Linked DNA regions of Callithrix jacchus. The protein of the gene in region 5 interacts with the protein of the main gene of each other region in a pairwise test. Links are inferred from orthologs where the notes say so. Each region holds a gene or a part of one and is shown on either strand. Other genes may lie near its edges. The genes, in order: CDR2, RALBP1, TRIM54, CCDC136, SMARCE1, TFIP11 and KIFC3.

Region 1 (4,275 bases), on a different chromosome or scaffold from region 5:
AAAATGTAACAGCCCTTTGAAAAACACAGAAATGCAACTGGCAGTAAAGAGGTTCAGACCTATGTGTTGTTTTTTTGAGACATAGTTTCATTCTTCTTGTCCAGGCTGGAGTGCAAGGGTGCCATCTCCGCTCACTGCAATCTCTGCCTCCCAGGTTCAAACGATTCTCCTGCCTAGCCTCCAGAGCAGCTAGGACTGCAGGCGCCCGCCACCACGCCCAGCTCATTTTGTATTTTTAGTAGAGACGGAGTTTTACCATGTTGACCAGGCTGGTCTCGAACTCCCAACCTCAGGTGATCCGCCTGCCTCGGCCTCTCAAAGTGCAGGGATCACAGGTGTGAGCCACTCTACCCAGCCCAGACCTGTGTTTTTAAGGTTTGTTAAACTTGAAGAGCTAATGACTTTATTTTGATCAGAGGTTAAAGAGAATTCCACCTGCAACCCTGACACCTTGCACTTGCTTCTCAGTAGACTGAAGTGTTACAGCTAGTTGTTCCTAACAATCTCCCACAGCGGGAGAATGCAGCGTGGAGTAAGGTACCTGATGGAAGAGAGCCATGGAAAACAATTTTGTGTGAGTGCTTTAGTTCAGTTCAACAAATATTAAAATTGGGCTTCCAGTATGTAACAAGTATTATGCTAGATGCTGGAAATAACCTGAAAAAGGAACCTACCCCCTCTATTCCCTTAAAGATTTATGCTTCTTAAATACAAGAAAGAAAAATATTTAGTTATGATGATACAGATTGCTTAAATTATAGGGAAATATTGCAATGGCACAGTGGTTGCCTCATAAATCCTGGAGAAACTATCAAACTAGGCCATCAATCCTTATGGGGAAATCTGAAAACAGGTTTGTTAAAATGTATGACAGATTTGTCTTTTTGACCTAAAGAAGATGGTGCCGAACACTGCACGGCAACCACTAAGTAGCTTGGAGTCTATAGGCATAATAAGGTGAATTACTTTGGTTAAAGTGATTGCACGTTAATTTAAGAAATTATCTTCCTCCAAAAGAGGTGCTTATTATCCTTTTCTGAATTATTCAAGTCTAGATTCTTTTCTTCTGCCACGTTCGGTTAGCATGAACAAGCATCATGATCATTTAATATTCAACTAAATGAGATGTTAATTTTCACTGCAAGATTAGTGAAAGCATTTACACAAAATTACAGAAACTGAAGATGCCTGGAAAAATTCTTGAGGATTATTCAGTATTCAGCACAGTGGTTAAGAATGTTCTGGAGTCTTAAGGGGAACCCTAGCACTCCCCAACATTACTACCTCTATTGTGTTACCAGGAGAATTAAATGAGCAACTGTGTTATGGGCTTATCAGTGTTAGGCACATAAAAAGTGTTTCCCAACTGCTAGCTCCTATTAGTATGAAAAAAAGGGGGGCCCACTGGTCCCAAAGTGCGGGCCGCTCTACGATTGTTCTCTGGAGACACCACCGGCAGGCCTGTTTCTAAGTGAAAGCTGGCATGCAAACTGAAGTGACAGAGGTAGAAGGGCTCTTCTGCCGTTTCAATTGGCATCTGGTGAACTATGTCTAACAGCTTAACGCCCAATTGAAAAAAGCTGTAAACTAGGATGGAAAAGAAGAGATGGGGTTTGAGCAGTGACTACAATTCCGAGTGTGTGGTTCAAAAAACACTCCCTCCACACTTAGCTTTAGGCAAGCGACTTAACCATTTGAGCCTCCCCTTTCCCATCTGGAAAATGGGGTAACAAAAGTTACTTTCAGTGTAATTGGTTTGTTAGTATCTCAACGGATAAATGCTGGAGGGGATGGACTCCCCGTTTCCCATCATGTGCTTATTTCACAATGTGAGCCTGTATCCAAACATCTCATGTACCCCATAAATATATACACCTATTATGTACCCTCAAACATTAAAAAATAAATTTTTGAAAAGTTACTGCTTCCTGGAGTTCCGTTACGTGCGGAGCACACAGCTCCCGCTAGGCGCAAAACCACCACCACCTGCAGCGGCCGGCCCTCCGCGCTGGCCATGAAAGGCGCTGGGGTCGACAGGCTGCGAGGGGGCGGCTTCCCGGGTTCGGCCACTTACTGCGGGGCACCTGGTTCACCCGGGTCTGTCTTGGAGGAATGCAGCGAAGATTAAACCAGTTAATCCAGGGAAAGCGCTTAAAACGGTGCCTGGCGCGCCGCTGGCCCCCACGCGCCCTGGGGCCGATATTGAACTGCGTATTTGCAGGGCCGTGGGCCCCGCGCCGAGGCTTCCTGCGGGCGGGATCCGCAGGCACCGCCGGCCCCGCCGCCAGGTGCGCCCGAGCCCTTCCCGGCACCTGCATCCTCCACCGCCAGAGAAAGCAACTTTTTAACAGTTCCGCATCGGGAGCCTCCTGGGCCAGGCCGCCACCCGCCCGCCCGAGGGGCGCCCCCGCCCTCACCTTGCTGGAGGTCCTGGTGGTCGTACCACGGTTCGTCCTCCTTCATCTCAAACTCCTCCACCAGGTTTTCCGCCAGCATCTCCGCTGGGTCCTCCGGGGGCAGCGGCTCCCACCGCCGCCGTCCCACCTCAGCCGCTGCCCCGGGCTCTCCCCCGGTCCCTCCGCCCTCAGCCAGAGCCGCCCTCGGGTGGGACGCGCCGCCGCCCAGGCTCCGCCACTCCGCCTCAGCCCTGCTCCCGCCGGCGGCCGCTACCGACCGGCCGCCTCCTTGACTCGCGTCGCGCCACCCAACGGCCCCAACGGCCCCAACGGCTGGGCGTTCCGACGCGAGGGCCCCGAGCCGGCTCCTCACGCCGCCGCCGGGCCCAACGTGGCACTTTGGCAGAACCCTCCCCGGCTGGGGATGCGATTCAAACCCCCGGCGGCTCCTCAACCAATCGGGAGCGGGCCGCTGGCCGAGCGGCAGCGACTTCGCCCAATCGCGTCTCTCCAAAGGCGCGCGGCTCGCCCGGTCTCGAGGGCATGCAGCCAATGTCGGGCCCGGAATAAACAAAGAAGGCGGGGAAAGAGTGAAGGGGTGCGGCCGAAAGCCCGCCCCCTGATCTGCGCGGTGCGGCTCCTAGGAGCGTGTTCTGGGGTCTGGGCTGTGGAGCCCGCCGCGCCGCGTCCTACCCCTGCGGTGGGTGTCCCGAGGCCGGCGCGTCCGTGGATAGGCAACGAGGGCCTGAGGGTCTAGAATTCCGACCTCTGAGAGTTGAGCGGTTGTCCAGGGAAGTCCTTCGTGCCGGCGGGAGGCGCAAGGGTGCCAGAAGCGCTTGGTCCGCCGCCCGCTCGCCCCTCTCGCATCTTGACTCAGATTTGCTCCGAATCTGGCGGGGAGACTCGGGGTCGATCGGGAGTTTAGGGCTAAGAAAACGCCCATTGAGCGGTAGCTTTTGTCTCCTTGATATCTGAGCCCTGGGAATTGTTCTGACGCTCCCTAAAACGGTGGGTGCCAGACCCCCTTGAGAATTTGGGGCGGGGAGGGATGCCCGAAGCAGTCCACTTGGAAGGAAAAAATTGCAAGCAGTGTTGCATACGAGTTTTAAAAGGTACCCGTAGACCACAAGTTAAGCATCTGGGGACATGACATTGCACCTGGAGGGGACAGGCTGCAGCCCCAGCACTTGGTAGCCAGCGAGGCAGAGCACGCTGTCTGTCCTCCACCGACAAAACCCAGCAAATACTGCTCGTGGGTTAAGCTTTTAGCACCATCTTGCAGACAAAGCACGGAAACTCTTAAGCAGGATGACAGACCTGAAGGTCAATGTTCTCAACCTTGAAGTAAAGGCAAAGGTGCAGCCGATGGAAGACAGCAGAACCAGTATCTTGCTAAGTTTGAGCAACAAAACAACAACAAAAAAATCGAGGTTTAAGTATATAATTCAAAGATTAGAACATAAGGTAATAATTGTTAGAAGTGGAGAGGAGTGTTAGTTAAATCCTGATCTATTTTAGCAGTGAGTCGGCAGATAATACCTTACATTGATAATCCAACAAATCGTTTCCACAAATATGGAGAGAGCTGCCAGAACTGAAAATGGGAGCAATTAAGAGTTTCCCTAAGGGGAGGATTGAGTTGGGGCTGGGGACTTTTTGTTATAAACCCTCCTGTGATCTTACTTTTTTAGATACTTGCACAATTAAAAATAAGGGAAATTGTAGGGAAGGAATTGTAGACTCAAGGCTACTTTTGTCTTTCTGTGTAAAAGAATAAAGACGGGTAATTTGAAAGAGAGGGAAACGCATCCTAAATAATTCTTGTGGGTAACAAAATAATTCTTGTGGGTAATAAAATTTAGGTGTCTCTCCACCTCCC
Region 2 (2,991 bases), on a different chromosome or scaffold from region 5:
GGCTGCTGCTGTTCCATAGTACCTAAACTTTGCCTAGTGTGTCCAGATGATTTAGAAGTGATAGTAATTTTCTGTAGTTTGATTTGAGTAGGACATTTCAGAATTAAAGTAATGCCATTCACAAAAGACAAAGGAGATTCACCTTTGAAACAAATTTAGTCTTTTATCTGATCTCTAACTCTCCTCTCTAATTGCTAGTAAAATTACTTTTATTTTCTCCTTAAAGGCTGTTCAGAGATCACTTCCAAATTATATATAGGTTGTCTATTTTAAACACTAGGATACTGAATTATTAAAATAATGGTTTTCTGCTGGCACATGGATGCGTTTCTCTCCTGTAACCAGGAGCAGGGTTTCCAGCCTTACATTCTGAAGAGTCATGTGGCTTACTGTGCATTCCCATTGTGTTTGTCTTCTGTTTCACAACCCACTGACTTTAACAAAACGAGATTGCTCTGTAGGATGCCCTTGCTAACTGCGGTCTGCTCCTGAGAAATCGTCCTCTGACTTCCTGAAGTGATAACTGCCCTTTCTGTCATTCCCAAAGATAAAGAACAATCATTTGAATCAAGCAATTCATGAGGAGCGTGAGGCCATCATCGAGCTGCGAGTGCAGCTCCGGCTGCTCCAGATGCAGCGAGCCAAGGCCGACCAGCAAGCTCAGGAGGACGAGGAGTCTGAGTGGCGCGGGGTTGCTGTACAGCCGCCCAGAGACGGCGTCCTTGAGCCGAAAGCAGCTAAAGAGCAGCCAAAGGCAGGCAAGGAGCCGGCGAAGCCATCGCCCAGCAGGGACAGGAAAGAGACGTCCATCTGAGCAGCTTGCGCGGCCGTCCGGAGTCCACGAGACTGAAAGGACCTGTGCATCTTACTGTAACCCGGGGGCCAGGCTGGCTCTCTCGCTGTACATTCTGTAAAGGTGTCTTCTTCTCTTCTCAGACTCTTCCTCTGTTACATGTCTGACTCCTTTGCGTCAGGCTCAGGTTCTGTGGGAGGATGAAGCAGTGGACGCATTGTGGGCTTTAGGGACAGATGAGTTTTCCAGATAGTGTCAGCTTATTTGAAGATTAATTTTCTTTGTTAACTTAAAATAACTATTTTAACCCTTGAGTGGCTTCTTTTTAAACCAAAAATTGTCTTTCTTTGCTTTTTTATCACAGCAGAATCAGGATCTCTTTTTCATTCAAGGGGGGAACCACACCAGGTCAGCGCTGTGCCTGCTGTGGCTGCCACGAGCCGCGCCCTCCGGGATCTCTGGTACCGTCACTCTTGCTTGTGCCTTCCACACCTTCTCGGTGCAGATCCCTATGGGGGAGCTGCCTCACATTCTCTGACTGGCCAGAGTGGCACCTGGTGGGTATTCCCTGGCCCACCCTCCTAACTCCTTCTGCAGTTCTAAACCACAGTCCATAAGCCCGAGTCACCAGGATGGCCTCTTTGGCCATAGACAGGGGCTGCCTGTGGAGCCTGCCCACCTGCCCCTGGCAGCGCAGGCCTGCGGAGAGGAGGCCGCCTGTTCCCGCCGGTTCCTCACTGCGGGGACCAATAAAGGCCTTCTCACGGGGTTGGTCAAAGGTAAGGTAGTCACCTTGGCCGGGTGCATCCACAGAGGATGTTGCTCAAACCAGAAGTCTTTTAAATGACTGACCTTCCTTAAAAACAGAATGACTCCGATTGCTTGCTTGGGCTAGAATGTACATGTCTCCTTGCCTGAATAAGCCATATATATTCTTTTAAACAAAAGTTTGAAATGATCCCTATCGTCTTGGTGAACCTACTGGTGGACTCCCAATTGACAAGATTGAGCAATAGAAAAAAATTCCTTTCCTTTGAATGATAGCTGTGATTCACTCCGCCCCATTTTCTTGTTTCTGGTCCATCTGATGAGACGAATGCTCTGATGCTCTGAGGCTTCTGGGAGGCCGGGCTCTGGAGGCAACGTGCTGCAGTCACACTATGTCAGAGTGAACAGCACCGTGACAGGCCAGGCTCGTGGCTCGGAAGACAAACCCCACAGACATTCAAGGGGATGAAAACAAACCCCACACGAGGGCTCTCTCCTCCTCCTCCTGGGTAGTATTTATTTTCAGCACCTATTTGATGCAGTTTTTAATCCTCTACTTATTGCACTGTTGTGACTCGTTGGCCATTATTTGATTTTTGTACGGAAAAAAAGCTTTGTTATAGAAATCAGCATACTATTTTTTTAAATCTGGAGAGAAGATATTCTGGTGACTGAAAGTATGGTTGGGTGTCATATATAAATGTGCAGATGCCTTCTTGCTGTCCTGTCGGTCTCAGTACATTCACTTTATAGCTGCTGGCAATATCGAAGGTTCCTTTTTTGTTTGTGTAAACTCTAATTTCTATCAAGGTGTCATGGATTTTTTAAATTAGTATTTCATTACAAATGTCTCACATTGGTTAACTAATTTTTGCCAGGACCATTATTGATCAAGCAAATAAATTCAACAGCCATTTGGGAAAAAGAAAAGCTTCGAGTTTTTTGTACACATTCTTCCTGTGAAGAGATTGAGCACCCTGTGGCTGCCGAGGAGTTGGTTGAGGCACTTCTTCAAGGCTAAAGGAGAACATAGTGTTTTGTTTTCAGCTCACTTTGTATCCCTCACCTCTGCAGGTGTGGGGAGCACGCCAGGCCCCTGGCATGCATGCTAGCAGCAGCCTGCCACCCTTCCACAAGCCGTTGCTGCTGGGAGGGAGCCCGTGTTTGCAAAACCCAGTGGACTGGGTTGGGTCTGCAGTCAGCCGCTCCTGGCTCTAGTGGGAACTGCACACAAGTCCACTGGCCTGGCTTGGCCCCAGGCATTGCAATTTACAGACATTTGCATTTCACGCGGTAAATGAGGACTCAGCACAGCCAATCATAATTAGCATGTCTAGGATAGACTGGTCTAGAATAAAAATGAAGTTTCCATTGCTTTTTTTGCTTTAAAAATTCCACAATTAAAGTATCTGTCATTGAAAGCTCAGAGA
Region 3 (2,855 bases), on a different chromosome or scaffold from region 5:
GGATAATCATCAAGAATTTCTTGCATCAGAATTGATGCAAGAAACGAATCTTCAGATAAAGCATCTAGCCCTGTGCCTGGCATCTGGTGGATGGAGACTGTCTGTTCCTTCCCACTTAGTGGTGGAGGGCTTCTTCTCTCCACCTCCTTCTAGAATCCCTAGAATGTGCTTCTGTACCTCCTGATAGTTCAAGTCTTCTAGAGGGCTGTAGATGCCCTCATGGTGGGTGGGGTGAAGGGGACAGCCCTCTTCTAGGCAACCCTGGCTGGGGTGAGGGGTGTAGCTCTAGACCAGGTCCCAGTTCTAAGTGCTGACCTGTTTGTGTGTCAGAGTGAGCTCAGCGATGGCATTGCGATGCTGGTGGCAGGCAATGACCGGGTGCAAGCAGTGATCACACAGATGGAGGAAGTGTGCCAGACCATCGAGGTGAGCCTGGGCTAGAGGGAGGGGGGAACAGCAACTGGCGGGTCTGCGGACCCCGGGCTTCCTTCCAGAAGAATTGCTGTGGCCAAACTGGTCTGAAAGTTTCTGGGGTCCTGAAAGTGGTGGGATGGGCTTTAGCCAGGCTGCTGGGTATGCATTCCAGCTTTGCCTCGAAACTTTAATCCAGTTATTTAACTTCTCTGTGCTTTGGTTTTGTTTAACCTCATAAAACAGTGATGATGATAATGGTACACCAGCTACCTCATGGGTTCTTTTTAAGAATTAAATGGAATAACGCAAGTAAAAACCAGGGCTAGGGATATAGACAGCACTCATTGAAGCTACTTTAAAACATTGTGTTTTTATTATAGAAGAGATCTGGGCTGGATTCTGGCTCAGCCACTAGCAGTGGCACTGTGGACGGGTCACTTTCTGTCTTGGTTCTCTGAGCTCCATCAAGTGGGGAGCAGGCCCAGTACCCTGGGATTTCCCAGCCACCGGGTCTCAGCCACGCCTTCCCTGGTCCTTGCTCCCCATCTTTCAGGACAATAGCCGGAGGCAGAAGCAGTTGTTAAACCAGAAGTTCGAGAGCCTGTGTGCAGTGTTGGAGGAGCGCAAGGGCGAGCTGCTGCAGGCACTGGCCCGGGAGCAAGAGGAGAAGCTGCAGCGTGTTCGTGGCCTCATCCGTCAGTACGGAGATCACCTGGAGGCCTCCTCTAAGCTGGTGGAGTCTGCCATACAGTCCATGGAAGAGCCACAGATGGCGCTCTACCTCCAGGTGGGCTCTAGGGGAGGGTGGCAGTGCTGCAGAGTGGCTGGAGTCGGGGCCTTGGCACCTGGACATCCAGGTTCAAGTCTTGTCTCTTGGACCTGCCTTGCCCCTACCACCTTGGGCAATTCACCCCCTCTGAGTTCATTTTCTCCTTAATGAAATGGGATGTACCTTCCCACCTACCCTGCAGGACTGTGGTGAGAAAGAAATGGGACTTAGCCCAGGTTGGCCCAGTGCTTACTCTCACCCTCCTTTTCTCCCCTGCAGCAGGCCAAGGAGCTGATCAATAAGTGAGTAGGCACAGCGGGAAGGGAAAGGAGGGGGCTGCGCTGCTCCACTGGCTGGGGGAGGGGCTTGAGGGTGCTGGGGCATTGCCAGTTGAGCCCAGTGTGGTTGCTGCAGGGTCGGGGCTATGTCGAAGGTGGAACTGGCAGGGCGGCCAGAGCCAGGCTATGAGAGCATGGAGCCATTCACCGTGAGCGTAGAGCACGTGGCCGAAATGCTGCGGACCATCGACTTCCAGCCGGGTGAGGGAGATGGCCAAGGGCCACCGGGACTGGGGTTCCGACCCTCCATGTGGGGGCAAGGCGGGCAAAATGGCAGGAAAGGCAGGGACTCCACCTCACCAGGCCTTCCTTGGGCCCAGGCACTTCCGGAGAGGAAGAAGATGAGGAAGTGGCCCTGGACGGAGACGAGGGCACTGCGGGGCCGGAGGAAGGGCGGCCGGATGGGCCTTAAGGTGAGTGTCCTGAGGGACTTGAAATGGGGCCTGGCTGGTGCACTCATGTCCCCTCCCCCGGTTACTGTCCCCCAATCCTCGGTACCACCCTACCCCGGAGCCACAAAGGTGCATCCCCCAGGGCGGAAAAGCACACTTCCTCCACCCCCACCGTACCTCCGGGTTACTGGGAGGGCAAGCAGAGTTGGCTGAGTAGAGGAGAAACCCACGTGGCGGGCGACCGAGTGAGCTGGGCTCGAGCTGCCTCGCGCCTTCTCAGCACCTGCTCACTAAGCCTTCTTTCCCAGGCACAGGTCTGCGCCGACCCGACTCTGGTCAAGAGCCTGCGCTAGGGTCGGGGAGGATCTGCGCAGAGACCGCAGAGTAGCCCAGCTCGGCGCCCGCCCCGGGAGGATCTTAATAAAGAACTCGAGCTCCCAGACCCGTATCTCCTTTCGCTGCCCAATCCCTCAGCTTCGGCTTTGGAGGCGACCCGCCACCATTCTGCCCTTCCTGGAACCTGAGACCGTTTGGGCGGGTGGAAGCCAAATGAACCCTTTTTGGGCACCTCCGTGATGCCAGGAGAGAACTGGTGAGCCCAGCACCCTTGGAAGAGGGTTGAGGGCAAGGCGGTGGTGCCGGGACCTGAGGTCCTGGGGATTTGGGGAGCCCTGGGGTCCACAGGCACCTGGCTGACCTGGCTGAAAGCCGCTCTCCCGGAGCCCCCCTCCCCCGCGCATCCTGTTCCCTTCCAGCTGGCTAGGGGGCCCCACCTTCCCACAGGTTCCCACCCTGCTGTGACTGCCGCCCCCCCAACAACAGAAGCCAACAGCTCTTCAGCACTTTTATTAAAAAATAGCCACGCAGAGAATGCTCTGGTGGCTCTGCCCCGCGTCCCAACCCTGAGGTGGGGGAAAGGGGTCAAAGTTTTCGCGGCCCCAA
Region 4 (3,500 bases), on a different chromosome or scaffold from region 5:
CTACAGTGGTTCCCATCTTAATGGAAAGTGGGTGCTCCATTTTCCTGTGAAGCGATTGGGCGGGTGGAACACAGACAACTCACATTGGGAGGTTCAGCCCCAAAGGACCACAGCCCCTAGGCTGGACAGCTATTTCATTTCACCCAGCCCCATTTGCTGGGGCCCCTGTTCTTCCTGGGTTGCATGCCCAAGAGAAGTACCAAACAGATGAAGAGGGAAGCATTTGTTAAAAATAGTTGTGTACTAATAAGTAAAAGAGGATTGGGTAAAAGAAGAGTCACCATAAGGGTAGGAAAAGACAATTTAGGTGCAGAGCCCAAGACTCATTAGTTCTGGCAGCTGTCTGACATGGCTTAATGGCCAGACATAGTGTCCTGAGAGGTGAGGTATGATCTCTATATATGCTCAGGAGGATTGGCTCGCAGTCCCAGACCACCGGGCCACACCCTTGCACTGTGACATGCTGGAAGTCATGTTTCCTTGAGCTAGTACAGCTTTGTCATGAGGTTAGGAGCTTCACAGGTAATGCAGCCCCCATCCTGCCCTACCTCCCACCCACAGAGTCTGGAGGTGGTGCTGTACTACAAGGCCAGCCAGATGAAATTAGATGGACTAGCAAAAGAGGAGGAAAAGAGAGAGGAGATGGAGGAGGAAAAAGAGAAGGAGGTGAAAGAGGAAACAAAGGAGCCATGTGGGGATGAGCTAGCAGCTGAGCCAGAAGATCCTGGGGAAGCTAAATCCACAGAAGATCAGGAGGAAAATAAAGAGGACAATGAAGACGAGGAAGATGACATCAACTCTTCCCTTGAAAGTCCCAAAGAAAACAATCCCCTCAGACTTTCTGAGAGCAAAAAGGTAACCAGAGCCAAAGGCTAGATCAAGTGGGAAGTGGGCGCTTAGACTCCGGTGCCTCAGAGTTCATGGGTGGCCCTGCCAAGGATGTATGACTCCAGGAGTAGAGGCCTTGCGCTCTAAGGCTTAGGCCTTCGGGGAGGTGGAGATGCAGAAGCGGGAGGCGAGAGCAGTCTGTCTGCAGGAAGTCAGGGGCTCAGCCCCATTTGCTGTGGAACCACCTCCCAGTGACCACCTTTTCTGGGAACCAGCGTGGGGTCTCTGGAGTCCTTTCATTTGCATAGTAGCCTTTGTTGCCTTCCTTATGTCAGGACTCTGCCCTCATCCGTCTCTTTGGCACTGCAGGAAGGACGTTGACAGTGTAAAGTCTACTTCAGGCCATTTCTGTCGGCCTGGGCACATCACTCAGTTTTTCTATGGTGCCCTGTTAGCATTAACCTTTGTTGTTGCTGTTACGGGTGTGTCAGGGGATAATCTCTTCTTTGTTTGTGTCACCCCCTGGATTCTGTATATCACAGGATGTGAAAGTGGGGCCTGAGAGTGATAGTGAAAATGTTTCACATCTGTGCAGTAGGGGCATAGACTAGTCCAAGGAGACCATCCCTTCAGTTGCTGGATTGTTGAGAGGCTGGGGTGGAGGTATCCTGGGATATATTTGCCAGGATGCTAGGGGTAACTTATCAGTAGTATAGACACACTTCCATATTTTAGTAACTGGTATGTTTCCGCAGGTATGTAGCAACTGAATTCTTGCCCTGGGCTTAACTGGGGCCTCAGAGCCCCTAAAGAGTTAGAGTATTTCCTGTGTAAGTCCTCAGCTTACATTACAGGTTCTTTCTGTCCTAAGCAGAGGTAAAGAAAAAAGCCTCTTGTGGTGGGATTATCCAGTCAACTCTAAGGATATCTGGAATTTCCAGCAATTCGGTCTTCAGCACTCACTAAGAATCCAGTGTGTAGTGCTCTGTTGACCTTGTGCCAGGGACCGTTACCTAAGATGTGAAAAGTCAGAGGCACTGCAACCCCTCCCATTATTATGTTTCCTTCAACTCATCATGTTCTACCAGCGCTGGTTCAGGGCCTCACAGATGTCTTTACCTTGGGTGCCACATTTCTAAAGCTAGACCTGATTTTTCTACTTCAAATACATTCTATGTTTCTTCATATGGAGAGATTCCTTTGCCCCCTGATCCTGCATCTTTTGCAGGCAGCTCTAGGGCATGTGTGTTACCACTTTGCAAATCCAGTTTCTGTCTGGAAGATGGTTGCAGTGAAAGAACTAGCCCTTCTCCCTTGTCAGTTTGTTTCAGTGCATTTTGTCTTACAATGATATCATTAGATTGCTAGGGGATCCAAGGGACCAGAGCCCGAAATACTAAGAAACTTATGGAAAGCAGGCTAGAACAAAGGGACAGGTGGCCTGGTAGAAGACTGGCTCTTCCTAGGGCCACCTAGGAAAAGCATCTGCCCTACTCCTCTAAGGAAGCTGTTTACTCTCTGCAGCGTCACAAGAAGGGTCTAGGTGCAGATACCTCGTGCCTAACAAGATATGAGAGGTCTATGACAAGACAGAAAGAAAACTGGACTCACCGCCTGACTTGGACCTGGCTGCTGCTTAACCCATTCAATTTTGCAATTCCTGCAGACTGCTGGCGGAAAGAACCAAGGCCCAGGCAGCAGAAAAGACATGCAACTGCTCTAGCTTACCTGTTTTTTAACCTCTTGATTCCTTTCTCTTTTCCCTTTGTTTTCTCATCTTCATTATCTGTTGGATCCATGTGTTTATGTCTCACATCTCCTGGTCTCTCCTCGTGCTTCTTTCTCATTTTGGTTTGTTGCAGTCATCCCCTACCCCCGATCCCCCCATCTTCTCCTTGCCTCTTGTAGGCCTGGTGGTCATCTCGGCTTTGCTCTGGTGCTGGTGGGCTGAGACGTCGTCCTAATGCAGGTACTGGTATTGCTTCCTCTCCTTCTGAGGGATAGAGGGAGGGTGCAGGTTGCCCTGGCCTCTCCTCTTTCCCTTTTCTCCCAGCTGCTCGCTTCTTGCTTGTGCCATTTTACAATAGGTGATGCTCAAGTCTGAGTTTTAGTTCTGACTTTTCCTTGGGCTACTGCAAAGCCTGTGACATCTTGGCGCATGTCTTCATAATGCATAGGAGGTTGGAATGCTTGCCAGAGACATGGTTTGAGTTTCAGTCCTTGGCTGGGAAAACCTTGGATAAGCCCAGCATGGTTGCTACTGTCAAAGCTGCCTCACTACTTCTTTTTCCCCCTCATCTCTGTGTGATGGCAAGCCTGACCACTTCTGATGGGCTGACATTTGTCTGCCAGGCTGGCCTGGGCCCTCTTTGTCTTTGTTTAACCTCAGAGCCAAGTTCTCACAACTGTTGCTACCCAGGATGGCAAAATACGGAATCCCTCTTCTGTTGGGAGAGAGAAGAGGTCCGAAGAGCTGTGATCCTCATGATCCTCCCAGGGGCGTTGGTAGGAGGGCAACCTAAGTTGGTCTTTCAACCTTGGCGAAATAGAACTGAACACCTACTGTATTACTCTGCACCTTCTACTGAATGGTTTTCTGCTTCTGGACTTCCAGTCTCCAGAAAAGTCAGAACAGAATGCCGGGAAATATTTTATAGTTCTCTGTTTATTTC
Region 5 (3,717 bases):
TTGTAGTTTTTAAATCTTAGCTAGACTCATGTAATTAATGATCTGAAGTAAAAATTCAAAGCATTATTTGGTACACTGTTTGAAATTGTGGACCATTAAAAAATGAGACATATTTTCTGTGTTTGACATTTGCTTTAGAGAAAATAATTAAGTAATTATAGAGCCTGATCCTGTCTTACAGCGAAAACTAGAAGCTGAACTTCTTCAGATAGAGGAACGACACCAGGAGAAGAAGAGGAAATTCCTGGAAAGCACAGATTCGTTTAACAATGAACTTAAAAGGGTATCTGTTTAATATGTTAACTATACTTTTATCACGATGCCTGTTACTTTATTTTTCCTCATTCTTTTTTCCAAAATAGTGTTTTAATGAATGTTGTTCACTTTGAAACAGGGTTAACTTTACTATATAACCTGTAAGATCTTTTTTTATACAATTTTTCCCATCCTCTGGCAGAATTGCAATAAATTTGAAATATCATGGAGTATACACATATCTACTAGGCCTATAAATGCTAGAGCCCTCTGATATTTTAAACTCCCATACAGTCAATTACTTTTATTGTGATTTATTCATAAAATGTCTTCATTAGATGTAATTCATAGTTTGCACTTTACATGTAGACAAGGATATCTAGTTGGTAGCCCAAAATATAAAATGGAAGCCTTATGTATACCCCAGAACTTTCACTGTTTTGCCTCACCAGCTGCTCTGGAATATCGGATGTTATACAACTGCTACAGCAGCTTTCTTTTCTTGTAGACCCAAGAGTTTCAGAGAAGACCTAGAACCACATTTTTTTGCCACACACACAGACACACAGGTGTATAGAATATATATATATATATAGTTTGTGGGCAAGAAAACCAACTTTTGAAAGAATATTTCTGGCTCAAAAATTATAAGAAAACATTACTAAGAGTTCTGGTTTATTCTGACTAGTTGTGCGGTCTGAAAGTAGAAGTGGATATGGAGAAAATTGCAGCTGAGATTGCACAGGCAGAGGAACAGGCCCGCAAAAGGCAGGAGGAAAGGGAGAAGGAGGCAGCAGAGCAAGCTGAACGCAGTCAGAGCAGCATCATTCCTGAGGAAGAACAAGCAGCCAACAAAGGCGAGGAGAAGAAGGACGACGAGAACATTCCAATGGAGACAGGTAACCCACTAGCAACAAACACAAGGAAGTGCCAAGACTTTGTACAGCTGTCTTTAATTTAGATTTTTCTTTCTAAGTGCAAGTTTTCTGATACCTGCCACTGAGAGTGATTCCCAGTACTGAATTTGACATGATATTGACATTCAATATTTTAACCTTTATTGCTTACATTATTTATCAAGATGTAGTTATTGCTTTAAGATCAATTATCTTAACAGCATTGGTGTTAAGATAATTGTCTTTGGTGTCCTAGGACAGCATTCTTCAAAGTAATACCGATAGGCCAATTCTGCCCACCACTTGCTTTTGTAAATAAAACTGGAACACAGCCACACTTGTTTGTTTACATATTGTCTATGGCTGCTTTGGGGCTAAAACAGTATAGTTGAGTAGTTGCAACAAAGACTGCCTAGCCTGCAAAGTCGAAAATATTTGCTGTCTGGCTCTTTACAGAAAAAAATGCCAACCCTGTCCTAGAAAAGCCCTTACTTCTAGGTATATTGATTTTCCTGATTGAAAGCAGCATCCCTCAAGGTAAAAAATAATAGTAATAACTTGTATGAATAAAACTTATATAAAGTACTGATTACAATGATTATCATTTGTAATTTTGAGATGACCTAACCTCATAGCACTGTTTTGACACTGCCTAGTACACTGTGTAAACAGGACTAAGCTAAAAGTTGTTATGGAAAACAAAACCAAAGGCTTCCTGGAGCATCGCTGCAAGAAGTGGGAGGGACAGTAGTCATACTTGGTACTCAAATGACAACCTCCAAGTGTCATACTTTGTAGTCAGATGACAACCATCTGGAAAACATGTAATGAAATACAGATCTTTACCAGGTATTTTTGCAAAATTTAATCCAGCAGGTTAACATTTTAGATAGTCATATGTTAGGTTTCACTATCTGAGTCTCTGTTTTGTATGAACATGTTTTTTATCGTAATGAATTTGGAGCATGAGCACATCTTTGTGGTTAAAGTAAGAGCTTGAAATTTAAAATACTGATTTTTGCAACTGTAAGAACACTCTGTCCCTTGCCTCTGTTTTGGCACCTGTGAATGAGGCATGTCTTATGCTTACGGTTTGCAGGTCTTTACTCAAATTCTGTTCTCCTAGCTCAAGGAAAAACCTGAAGAAGATCGTATGACACTATTAGAGCCAAAAGCTCATGCTTTTAATTTCCTACAGGAAACAGTCCAGCATGACTTTAAGAAAGTATCTAAAAGATCAACCTTATATCATTTCTACAACTGCTTCTCCTCATTTAATCCTTAGCACTACAGACTGACTCTCATTTACTGTCCAATAGAAATAAAATGCAATTCACATGTGAAATTTTAAATTTTCTACTAGCGACCTATTTTTAAAAGTTAAACAAAACAAGTGTTTTAACAATATATTTTATTTAATTCAGCATATCCTAAGTAACATTATTTCAACACGGAAGAAACATTTTTAAAATCAGCTTTCCTTTTTTTAAATAGTCTTCAAATCCAATGTATATTTTATTTTTCTACACATCTCAATTCAGAAGAAAATTGTTATCAAAAGTATTTGATCTGCATTTATTTAATAAATTTCATAAATACAGCTAAAAGTTAGGTTTTCATACCCAGATTGTTCCAACATTCTTAAAAGTTCTGTAGTCACACTGGCTCATTTCAGGGGTTTAATAACCACATGTGGCTAGTGGCTCCTGTATTGGACAGCCCAGTTGTATGCTGTCAGCATAACTAGAGTAAAATTTCATCTTGGAACTGACAGTGACAAATATGTGATTACAGAGGAGACACACCTTGAAGAAACGACAGAGAACCAACAAAACGGTGAAGAAGGCACGTCTACTCCTGAGGACAAGGAGAGTGGGCAGGAGGGGGTCGACAGTATGGCAGAGGAAGGAACCAGTGATAGCAACACTGGCTCGGAGAGCAACAGTGCAACAGTGGAGGAGCCCCCAACAGATCCCATACCAGAAGATGAGAAAAAAGAATAAATGTTGCCTTGTTTTATGTGTTCTAAATACTTTTTTAAATGAAAAAATGTTTTTTGGTTTTAATGGTGTTATGTGGTTTGTGTATTAATTTTTTTCTTGTCCATATCACACCACCAAAGGCTTTTGGACCATTTAGCCTCATGAACCTAATGGCACAGTCAGTCACCCTTCTTAGTGTTGTGAAGATGGCCCTTTTCTTTGGATCTTGTTTCTAGCCCTCAACTGCTGAAAGCCTCAGAATTTAGATTAATTGAGAAAACACCCTCCTCTTTTAGAGAATTATCCTTTGATGCTGCAGAATCTACTGTTACAATGCCTTCCTACAGCTCACTGGGGTGCTTACCAAAGCCATAGCTTTAAACCTTCCCAATCCCCATCAACAGTTTCCTGAAAATCTCCTCTCTTGTTTACTTCTGCAAAGGGTAGCTTCTTAAAACTGTAATCATGTATGAGTATGTATTTGTTCACTTCCCCTTTTTTACTTTTAGTCAATGTCAGATACCAAGAGTTGTGTTAAGAAGTTGAGTGTAGGCTACAACTAACTATGCTTGGATCTTACCGAT
Region 6 (3,500 bases), on a different chromosome or scaffold from region 5:
ACAGGCGCATGCCACCATGCCTGGCTAGTTTTTGTGTTTTTGGTAAAGATGGGGTTGCACCATGTTGCTCAGGCTTTAACCTGCTTTTAAAGGTAAAATTTAAGCTCTTAACATAGCAATTCTTAAATAATTTTTCTTTTTTGCTAACCCAGAAATAACTCCCATAACCTGAGTAAAATACAACGAAAATTTCAGAACTCCAATGGCTGTCCTGTTACCAGAAGCCAAAGCCAAGCAGGAAAGCCACAAGGCACAGAGTCCAATATTATCACTGTTGACTATTAGTCACTGTTGTAAATAAACAGTAGAAAGGACCCAAGTTACACTTTATGTTCAGCCTCTGCACAAAAGGGTAGCTTTTCACAGTGAGGAATACTGTGTGCTAAGCACTTTCACAAACGCAAAGGCTATGTTTTAAATTATCACTGCTGACCACAGAAACCAGGGTACCAAAGCTGCTGGATGTGGAATGTATTTTCCCCAAATCCTTACCCAGCTTGGGCACTATGTTTTTGACCATGAATGCTTCCCAGGAGCCAGGAGTGAAGACATCCTTCCAGGGCTGGAGGATGAGCTTGGCAGAGGAGTCACTGGGGTGCCACTTCTGCAGGGCGCTGGACAGCTTGCTACGGATGGGGGAATACAGCGGCTCCAGCCGTGCCTGCATGAGGGGCAGCCACGGGTGGATCCAAGAGTGGATGGGAACGGTGTCTGTGAGTGGGTTCCAGTTTTCCACCTGCAAAGCAGGGAGAAGAAACAGTTCATGCTGCCTGCGGGGCAGTCACATGCATCCCTTAGTTAAAGGCAAGAGCTGCCCTTGGAGGAGCAGGCCTCATGCTCTTCTAGACAAGGTCTACAGTCCTTTGTACGTTGCCAAACAAGTATGCCCATTCATTTGTATTACATCTCAGAAATAGCACAATTCTAATTTTAGTGAATAAATCAAGAAAATGAATTCTTTCCTGAGGGTGGCTTGGGGGAAAAAGTGCTGAGAAAAAGGCTGAAATTAACACTATAGATCAATAGCTGGGTTGACAAATTCTGTTAATTCCAGGCATTTTAACAGCACTGAGATAAGACATAGACTGTCCCTGTGGTTAGTGACGACAGCTGTTTCCCATGACTCTCACCCCACCTCCTTCTGCAGCTTGGGGAAGATGAGTTGGTCCAGTATGTTATCTAAGATCCACACAGGAATAATGTGCACCCAACTATCGAGAAAGTCCACCATCGGGTCACAGTTTCTTGGCTGCCACTGGGTGACAATATTTCGAACAAAAGGCATCCAGACTTCCCATATCAACCTATGGGAGAAAGGCAGAGGACGGGCTAGTTAATTACACTGATTGTTTTCAAGTACACCACCACCACCTGCCTCTCTAGAATCAGAAACAAAAATGCAACAGCATGGAAATCCAATGAAAGGAAACCGTCAGGCCAGTTACTATACTGGCCAGACCTGAGGCTGCCTCTTCCTTGTTTTTGTGACTGTCCTCTCAACCTGAGACCTCAGTCTCCTAAGTAGTGCCCGCCCACCTGGCAGAGCTGCCTTAGGGTCACAAGGGCCTCTTCCCAGGTATCAAGTGCTTTCCCACCTATAGACTTCTGTCCATCAGCTCACTCCTCACCCTCTAATATCACAGCTTCAATGTCACCTCCTCTAAGACCACTGTCCCAATCCCCATCTCAAGTAGGTCACTTCTGCAATTCTCTACTGTAGTACCTGGTGTGCATCCCGCCTTTATTTGCTCACTACCTTATTTCCCATCTGCCTTTTCTGCTGTGCTGTAGAAAGGCTGTCTGCTGTACTCCTAAGGTAAGCCCAGCACCTAACACAAGCATGATACTCAACAAATATTTGACAAGCGTCAGCTGAATTCATGGCCATATGTAATAGTGTAACCACTATGGAAAACAGTGTGGAGATTACTTAAAGGACTAAAAGTACTTCCACCATTTGATCCAGCAATCCCACTACTGGGTATCTACCCAGAGGAAAAGAAGTCATGGCTGGGTGTGGTGGCTCACACCTGTAATCCTAGCACTTTGGGAGGCTGAGATGGGCAGATCATGATGTCAAAAGATAGAGACCACCCTGGCCAATATGGTGAAACCCTGTCTCTACTAAAAACACAAAAATTAGCTGGGCGTGGTGGTGTGCCCCTGCAGTCGCAGCTACTCGGGAGGCTAAGGCAGGAAAATCTCTTGAACCCAGGAGGCAGAAGTTGCAGTGAGCTGAGATAGCACCACTGCCCTCCAGGCTGGTGACAGAACGAGACTCCATCTCAAAAAAGTCATTATATGAAAAAGATACCTGCTCAGACAAGTATCTATGCACCTATATATACACATACACATGTACAGATGTGTGTATGTGTATATATAGTGGAATACTACTCAGCCATAAAAAGGAAACAATGGCATTCACAGCAACCTGGATAGGACTGGAGACTATTACTCTAAGTGAAGAAGTAACTCAGGAATGGAAAACCAAACATCATATGTTCTCACTCTTAAGTGGGAGCTAAGCTATGAGGATGCAAAGGCATAAGAATGACACAGTGGACTCCGGGGACTCGGGGAAAGGGTGGGAAGGGGGTGAGGGATAAAAGACCACAAACTGGGTTCAGTGTACAGTGCTCGGGTGATGGGTGCACCAAAACCTCACGAATCTCCACTAAAGAACTTACTCATGTAACCTTATACCACCTGTTCCCCAATAACCTATGGAAATAAAAAAATTAAAAAAAAATGATTTCATGGCCAAATGAATGTAAATTCCTAAACAGTGTCAGCATGAGCAGAGAATTAATAAGGCCAGCAGCAATCCTTCCCAACCCCCAGGAGAAAGGAGCTGGAGTGCAGAGCCCTGCCCTGCAGTACCTGTGAAAGGCATCTGCGGAGAGGTCCTGTCCGCCATGGGACAAGAGCTGGTCATTCTCTAGGAGGCTTTTCCATTTGGAGATGATCTCGGTGCCGTAAGTGCAGTCCTGGGGAGAGAGCTGGAGCAGATGAGGGGCAGCGGGCTCTCCAGCCCTCCCTGCCCACCAGACCATCTCATCATGCAAGGGCAAGCCCAACCGAGAGGCAGGGAGAGGTTGATTTTCCCAACAACTCACTTTGAGGGGATCCCACTCCTTGAAGTACTCCTTCATGAGTGGATAGACGATAGCCACGGCAAGGTCCACACGGTCAGACATCCTGTACTCCTCATAGTACTTGTCCTGCAGGGTTTCAAAGATGCGGGCGCACTCGTCCAGGGTGAGGGGGTTGCTGCAGTCGGGCTGCATCCGCCGCTCGCACTCCTCCACCATCTCCAAGACCTTGCTGAGGTTGGAGATGACACGCTCCTCATGGTCCAGGACCTCAGTCATCTTCTCCAGCTCATGGAAGAGGTTGACCACCATGTCCCGCTCATACTGTAGCTGCCGGTCATTCTGGATGATCTCCTGCTCGGTGAGGTCAATGAGCAGCTGCAGGTTGTGCTCCAGCTCGGGCAG
Region 7 (4,105 bases), on a different chromosome or scaffold from region 5:
AGCAATAGCAGCAAAAACAATCCAATAATAATCAATCATTCAATTTCGTAATTCAGTAACACTGTTCAATCAGACTAACAACTTAGCCGTTGACTCACAGCCCCTGTCGTCTACCTTCTCTTTGCATCCCGTAACATGCCATAATTACATTATCTTATTATAACATCCCAGTAATAGCCCACTATTGCCATTTTAATAAGTCCAAAAACTGATGATTAGGAGATGTTTTGTGACTTGCCCGAGATCACACAGACAGTATAAAGAGAGTTCAGATCCCAACACCAGGTCACACAATGGTGTTCAAACTCCTCTAAATAGGCAGGCGCAGTGGCTCATGCCTGTAATCTCAGCACTTTGAGAGGCCAAGTCAGGCAGATAGCCTGAGGTCAGGAGTTTGAGACCAGCCTGGACAACATAGTGAAACCCCATCTCTACTAAAAATACAAAAATTAGCCAGGTGTGGTGGCAGGCACCTGTAATCCCAGCTACTCAGAAAGCTGAAGCGGGAGAATTGCTTAAACTTGGGAGGTTGCAGTGAGCCAAGATTGCGCCATTGCACTCTAGCCTGGGCAACAAGAGTGAGACTTCATCTCAAAAAAAAAAAAAAAAAAAATCCCCTAAATAAATATAGAGCACAGCCAGGCACAGTGGTTCATGCCTGTAATCCCAGCACTTTGGGAGGCAGAGGCAGGCAGATCACCTGAGGGACAGGAGTTCAAGACCAGCTTGACCAACAAGGCAAAACCCTGTCTCTACTAAAAATACAAAAATTAGCCAGGTGTGGTGGCACATGTCTATAGTTCCAGCTACTTCGGAGGCTGAGGCAGGAGAAGCGCATGAACCTGGGAGGCAGAGGTTGCAGTGAGATGAGATTGCACCACTGCACTCCAGCCTGGGCATCAAGAATAAAATTCTTCCCCCCCCCCAAAAAAAATAAATATCATACAGCATCTACTCTGTGCCAGGAATTGTGTATAAAATAATCTCATAGGCAAATCAGGGTAAAATATTTCAGATTAAAGGAGTTTCAATTAATTCTGAACCACTGGACAGAGATTCGCCCATGAGACAGTCGGAATGTGAACACTGGGCACTTCCTGCCAGCAAGGTTCTGGGCCGTGCACTTTACCTGCTTCACCTCATCACCACCTACTGTTAGCCCTTTTCACAAAGGGGGAAACTGAGGTGCAGGCTGATCCAGTGACTTGCTCAAGTCCCTTGCCAAGAACTGGTGGTGCTGGGTTCTGATGCCCTGATGCCCTGGCTGCATAGATACTCATCATTAGAAAAATGGTCTTAAAAATGGTCCCAGGTTCAAGCAATTCTCCTGCCTCAGCCTCCTAAGTAGCTAGGATTATAGGCACGCACCACCATGCCCAGCTAATTTTTGTATTTTTAGTAGAGATGGAGTTTCACCATATTGGCCAGGCTGGTCTGGAACTCCTGACCTCGGCCTGTAATCCCAGAATTCCAGGAGGCTGAAAATAGAGGATCACTTGAGCCCAGGAGTTCAAGACAAGCCTGAGCAACACAGCAAGATCCCATCTCTACGAAAAATATAACACAAACAAACAAAATCCCTGGTGCTCTGTGAGTCAGATCCGGGCAGTTGGCAGGAGCTTCTGAGAATATAGAAGACACTGGAAATATCTAAATTGAATAATCTTCAGACATGTTTGCAAGACCTAAAGGTAGGCATCAATACTTCACCCTGTGGATGTTTCTTTCCTTGGCCGGGCGTGGTGGCTCACACCTGTAATCCTAGCACTTTGGGAGGTCAAGGTAGGCAGATCACTTGAGGTCAGCAGTTCCAGACCAGCTTGGCCAACATGGTGAAACCCTGTCTCTACTAAAAATACAAAAATAAGCCAGGCGCGGTGGCTCACGCCTATAATCCTAGCACTTTGGGAGGCTGAGGTGGGTGGATCACCTGAGGTCAGGAGTTCAAGACTATCCTGGCCAACATGGTGAAACGCCATCTTTAAAAAAAAAATACAAAAATAGCTGGGCATGGTGGTTTACACCTGTAATCCCAGTTACTTGGGAGGCTGAGGCAGGAAAATCACTTGAACCTGGGAGATGAAGATTTCAGTGAGCGAAAATTGTACCACTCCACTCCAGCCTGGGCAAGAGAGTGAGAATCCACCTCAAAAAAAAAAAAAAAAAAAAAACGTTTTTTTCCTTGATCTAAAGGCAGCCTAGGCTGCGCGCAGTGGCTCATGCCTGTAATCCCAACACTTTGGGAGGCCGAGGTGGGCAGATCACAAGGTCAGGAGTTCGAGACCAGCCTGGCCAACATGGTGAAACCCCGTCTCTACTAAAAATACGAAAATTAGCTGGGTGTGGTGGCATGTGCCTGTAATCCTAGCTACTTGGGAGGCTGAGGCAGGAGAATCACTTGAACCCTGGAGGCAGAGGTTGCAATGAGCCAAGATCACGCCATTGCACTCCAGCTCTGGGCAACAGAGCAAGATTCTGTCTTGGTGGGGAGCGTAAAAAAAAAAAAAAAAGGTAGCGTAAACCCATAGGCAAGTTCTGGTGCAGGTCCCTTACCTGAAAGCCATAGCCTCGTGTCTCTGAGATCAGGATGCTCCCTGGGGAGGGGGATTGGAGTTCAGCAAGAATATCTTCCTTGGAGGTGGTGGAGCTGGGCCAGTGCCAGCAGGGGGCCTCCTCCTGGCCTGTGCTGGAGTCTCTGTCCCACTCTCCCCGCCGCCCCCTCCGCAGGGCCCAGGTGTTCGAACAGAGCCACACCAGGGCTGGAACGGCAAACATGGCAGCCTGCAGCCCGTCTCGCTCTGACAGGCTGTGGGAGCACAGTCTTCTACTCTGGAGCCCACAGCAGCCTGTGCCCTGGAATTTTCTACTTGGTTCTCCAATTCCTAGCTGGACCCTGCAGCAGCTGTGGTGTTGAACAAGGAAGGCATTCAGTCATTAGCTCAGCATTTAAAAGGCTTTGAGGACAGGGTCTTCAGTTTCCAGGGACTGACCCAAGTCACCAGCAGGGTTCTTGAAATGTTGCCCTTTCGGTCATTTAGCCAGCGCGTCTCCTCTGCAGCCCATACGGTCTTGAGAAGAATTAGAATTTTTATAGCAGGGAGACAAAAATTAAGTGAACTAGGCTCCTGACAGCCAAGTGGGAATTCAAGACGTCCAAATTGAAACTTTGATTTTCATTCCCCACAAATCTGGTTTCTCCTCCAGCCTTCTCATTCCAGCTAATAGCACCTGCATCCTTTCTGGATGACTCCAAGCACACGGCAGGCATCATGGACTCTGGTTCACACCCTACATCCTCTCAGTTACAATTCCTGCTGGCTCAACCTTCAGATATGACCCAGAATCTGCCCACTTCTCATCACCGCCACTGTCCCGCCGTCCCTCCCTCTACTCCCGCAATAGTCCTTGACCCGCTGTAATCACCTCCCAACTCAGTGGCCTGAGTGACCCTGTTAAAACCAAAAGCAATCACCTCACTCTGCCCAACGCCGTCCGTGCCACTCTTGTGGCAAGATGGTGGCAAGAGCACCCCTCCTGCAGTTCCGGAAGCCAAAATTGTGTTGCTGAAAGATCCTTTGTCTCAGGGCTGATTTTTCTTTGCGGCACCGAGCATCTATTTCCAACATCTATTCCCAACAGCTCCCATATCGCTTCCAGTAAAAACTAAGGTTTTGCAGTGGCACCCAAGCCCTCTCTGCTCCAAGCCTCCTATCCCTCCCGACACCTTTGCTCTGCTCCCAAAATCTGCCAGACAGCCCCAGGGCCTTCGCATGGGTTCTTCCACCTTGGACACTCTCTGCCCAGATATCCACAGGGCTCCCTCCCTCCCTCCCTCCACACCTGCTCAGGTGCCTGTTCCTCAAGAAGACTCTCCCTGATCTCCTCAGTTAAAACCACAGCTCACTCCTCCTCTTCCACCTCTGCCCCAGCTCTTGGCACCCCTTACTCTGCTGTCTGGGTGGTTCATTTTTCTTTTTAGTCGTCGCATTTAACACCTTCCAACAGACAAAATGTCCATGTATTTTCGTGCCTGTTATTATTCCCTCTTTTCCTCTATGAGGGAGACTCGCCTCTGAGAGGTGGAGATCTTTTTTCCATATTGTTT

Evidence for each region.
Region 1: the proteins of SMARCE1 (region 5) and CDR2 interact in binary tests that used the Homo sapiens proteins (3 or more experiments, as listed by UniProt). The two-hybrid records come from large-scale screens. The link is inferred for Callithrix jacchus from reciprocal best matches to the Homo sapiens genes SMARCE1 and CDR2.
Region 2: the proteins of SMARCE1 (region 5) and RALBP1 interact in binary tests that used the Homo sapiens proteins (3 or more experiments, as listed by UniProt). The two-hybrid records come from large-scale screens. The link is inferred for Callithrix jacchus from reciprocal best matches to the Homo sapiens genes SMARCE1 and RALBP1.
Region 3: the proteins of SMARCE1 (region 5) and TRIM54 interact in binary tests that used the Homo sapiens proteins (3 or more experiments, as listed by UniProt). The two-hybrid records come from large-scale screens. The link is inferred for Callithrix jacchus from reciprocal best matches to the Homo sapiens genes SMARCE1 and TRIM54.
Region 4: the proteins of SMARCE1 (region 5) and CCDC136 interact in binary tests that used the Homo sapiens proteins (3 or more experiments, as listed by UniProt). The two-hybrid records come from large-scale screens. The link is inferred for Callithrix jacchus from reciprocal best matches to the Homo sapiens genes SMARCE1 and CCDC136.
Region 6: the proteins of SMARCE1 (region 5) and TFIP11 interact in binary tests that used the Homo sapiens proteins (3 or more experiments, as listed by UniProt). The two-hybrid records come from large-scale screens. The link is inferred for Callithrix jacchus from reciprocal best matches to the Homo sapiens genes SMARCE1 and TFIP11.
Region 7: the proteins of SMARCE1 (region 5) and KIFC3 interact in binary tests that used the Homo sapiens proteins (3 or more experiments, as listed by UniProt). The two-hybrid records come from large-scale screens. The link is inferred for Callithrix jacchus from reciprocal best matches to the Homo sapiens genes SMARCE1 and KIFC3.

The regions. Positions count from the first base shown.
Region 1 is NC_133513.1:22,965,431-22,969,705, forward strand, and holds the start of CDR2 (cerebellar degeneration-related protein 2), read right to left. Parts: upstream 2,801-4,275; 5' UTR 2,497-2,800; coding exon 2,418-2,496; intron 1-2,417.
Region 2 is NC_133514.1:53,411,178-53,414,168, reverse strand, and holds the end of RALBP1 (ralA-binding protein 1), read left to right. Parts: intron 1-547; coding exon 548-814; 3' UTR 815-2,491; downstream 2,492-2,991. UniProt on the Homo sapiens protein: Multifunctional protein that functions as a downstream effector of RALA and RALB. As a GTPase-activating protein/GAP can inactivate CDC42 and RAC1 by stimulating their GTPase activity.
Region 3 is NC_133515.1:87,714,420-87,717,274, reverse strand, and holds the end of TRIM54 (tripartite motif-containing protein 54), read left to right. Parts: intron 1-330; coding exon 331-426; intron 427-967; coding exon 968-1,201; intron 1,202-1,462; coding exon 1,463-1,485; intron 1,486-1,597; coding exon 1,598-1,722; intron 1,723-1,841; coding exon 1,842-1,933; 3' UTR 1,934-1,934; intron 1,935-2,221; 3' UTR 2,222-2,355; downstream 2,356-2,855. UniProt on the Homo sapiens protein: May bind and stabilize microtubules during myotubes formation.
Region 4 is NC_133512.1:118,365,540-118,369,039, reverse strand, and holds part of CCDC136 (coiled-coil domain-containing protein 136), read left to right. Parts: intron 1-561; coding exon 562-855; intron 856-2,352; exon of another isoform or gene 2,353-2,690; coding exon of another isoform or gene 2,691-2,792; exon of another isoform or gene 2,793-2,797; intron 2,798-3,500. UniProt on the Homo sapiens protein: May play a role in acrosome formation in spermatogenesis and in fertilization.
Region 5 is NC_133506.1:92,638,896-92,642,612, forward strand, and holds the end of SMARCE1 (SWI/SNF-related matrix-associated actin-dependent regulator of chromatin subfamily E member 1), read left to right. Parts: intron 1-181; coding exon 182-283; intron 284-943; coding exon 944-1,154; intron 1,155-2,945; coding exon 2,946-3,154; 3' UTR 3,155-3,217; downstream 3,218-3,717. UniProt on the Homo sapiens protein: Involved in transcriptional activation and repression of select genes by chromatin remodeling (alteration of DNA-nucleosome topology).
Region 6 is NC_133502.1:197,225,308-197,228,807, forward strand, and holds part of TFIP11 (tuftelin-interacting protein 11), read right to left. Parts: coding exon 3,120-3,500; intron 3,003-3,119; coding exon 2,884-3,002; intron 1,305-2,883; coding exon 1,136-1,304; intron 737-1,135; coding exon 493-736; intron 1-492. UniProt on the Homo sapiens protein: Involved in pre-mRNA splicing, specifically in spliceosome disassembly during late-stage splicing events. Intron turnover seems to proceed through reactions in two lariat-intron associated complexes termed Intron Large (IL) and Intron Small (IS).
Region 7 is NC_133521.1:15,730,806-15,734,910, forward strand, and holds the start of KIFC3 (kinesin-like protein KIFC3), read right to left. Parts: upstream 2,801-4,105; 5' UTR 2,776-2,800; coding exon 2,554-2,775; intron 1-2,553. UniProt on the Homo sapiens protein: Minus-end microtubule-dependent motor protein. Involved in apically targeted transport. Required for zonula adherens maintenance.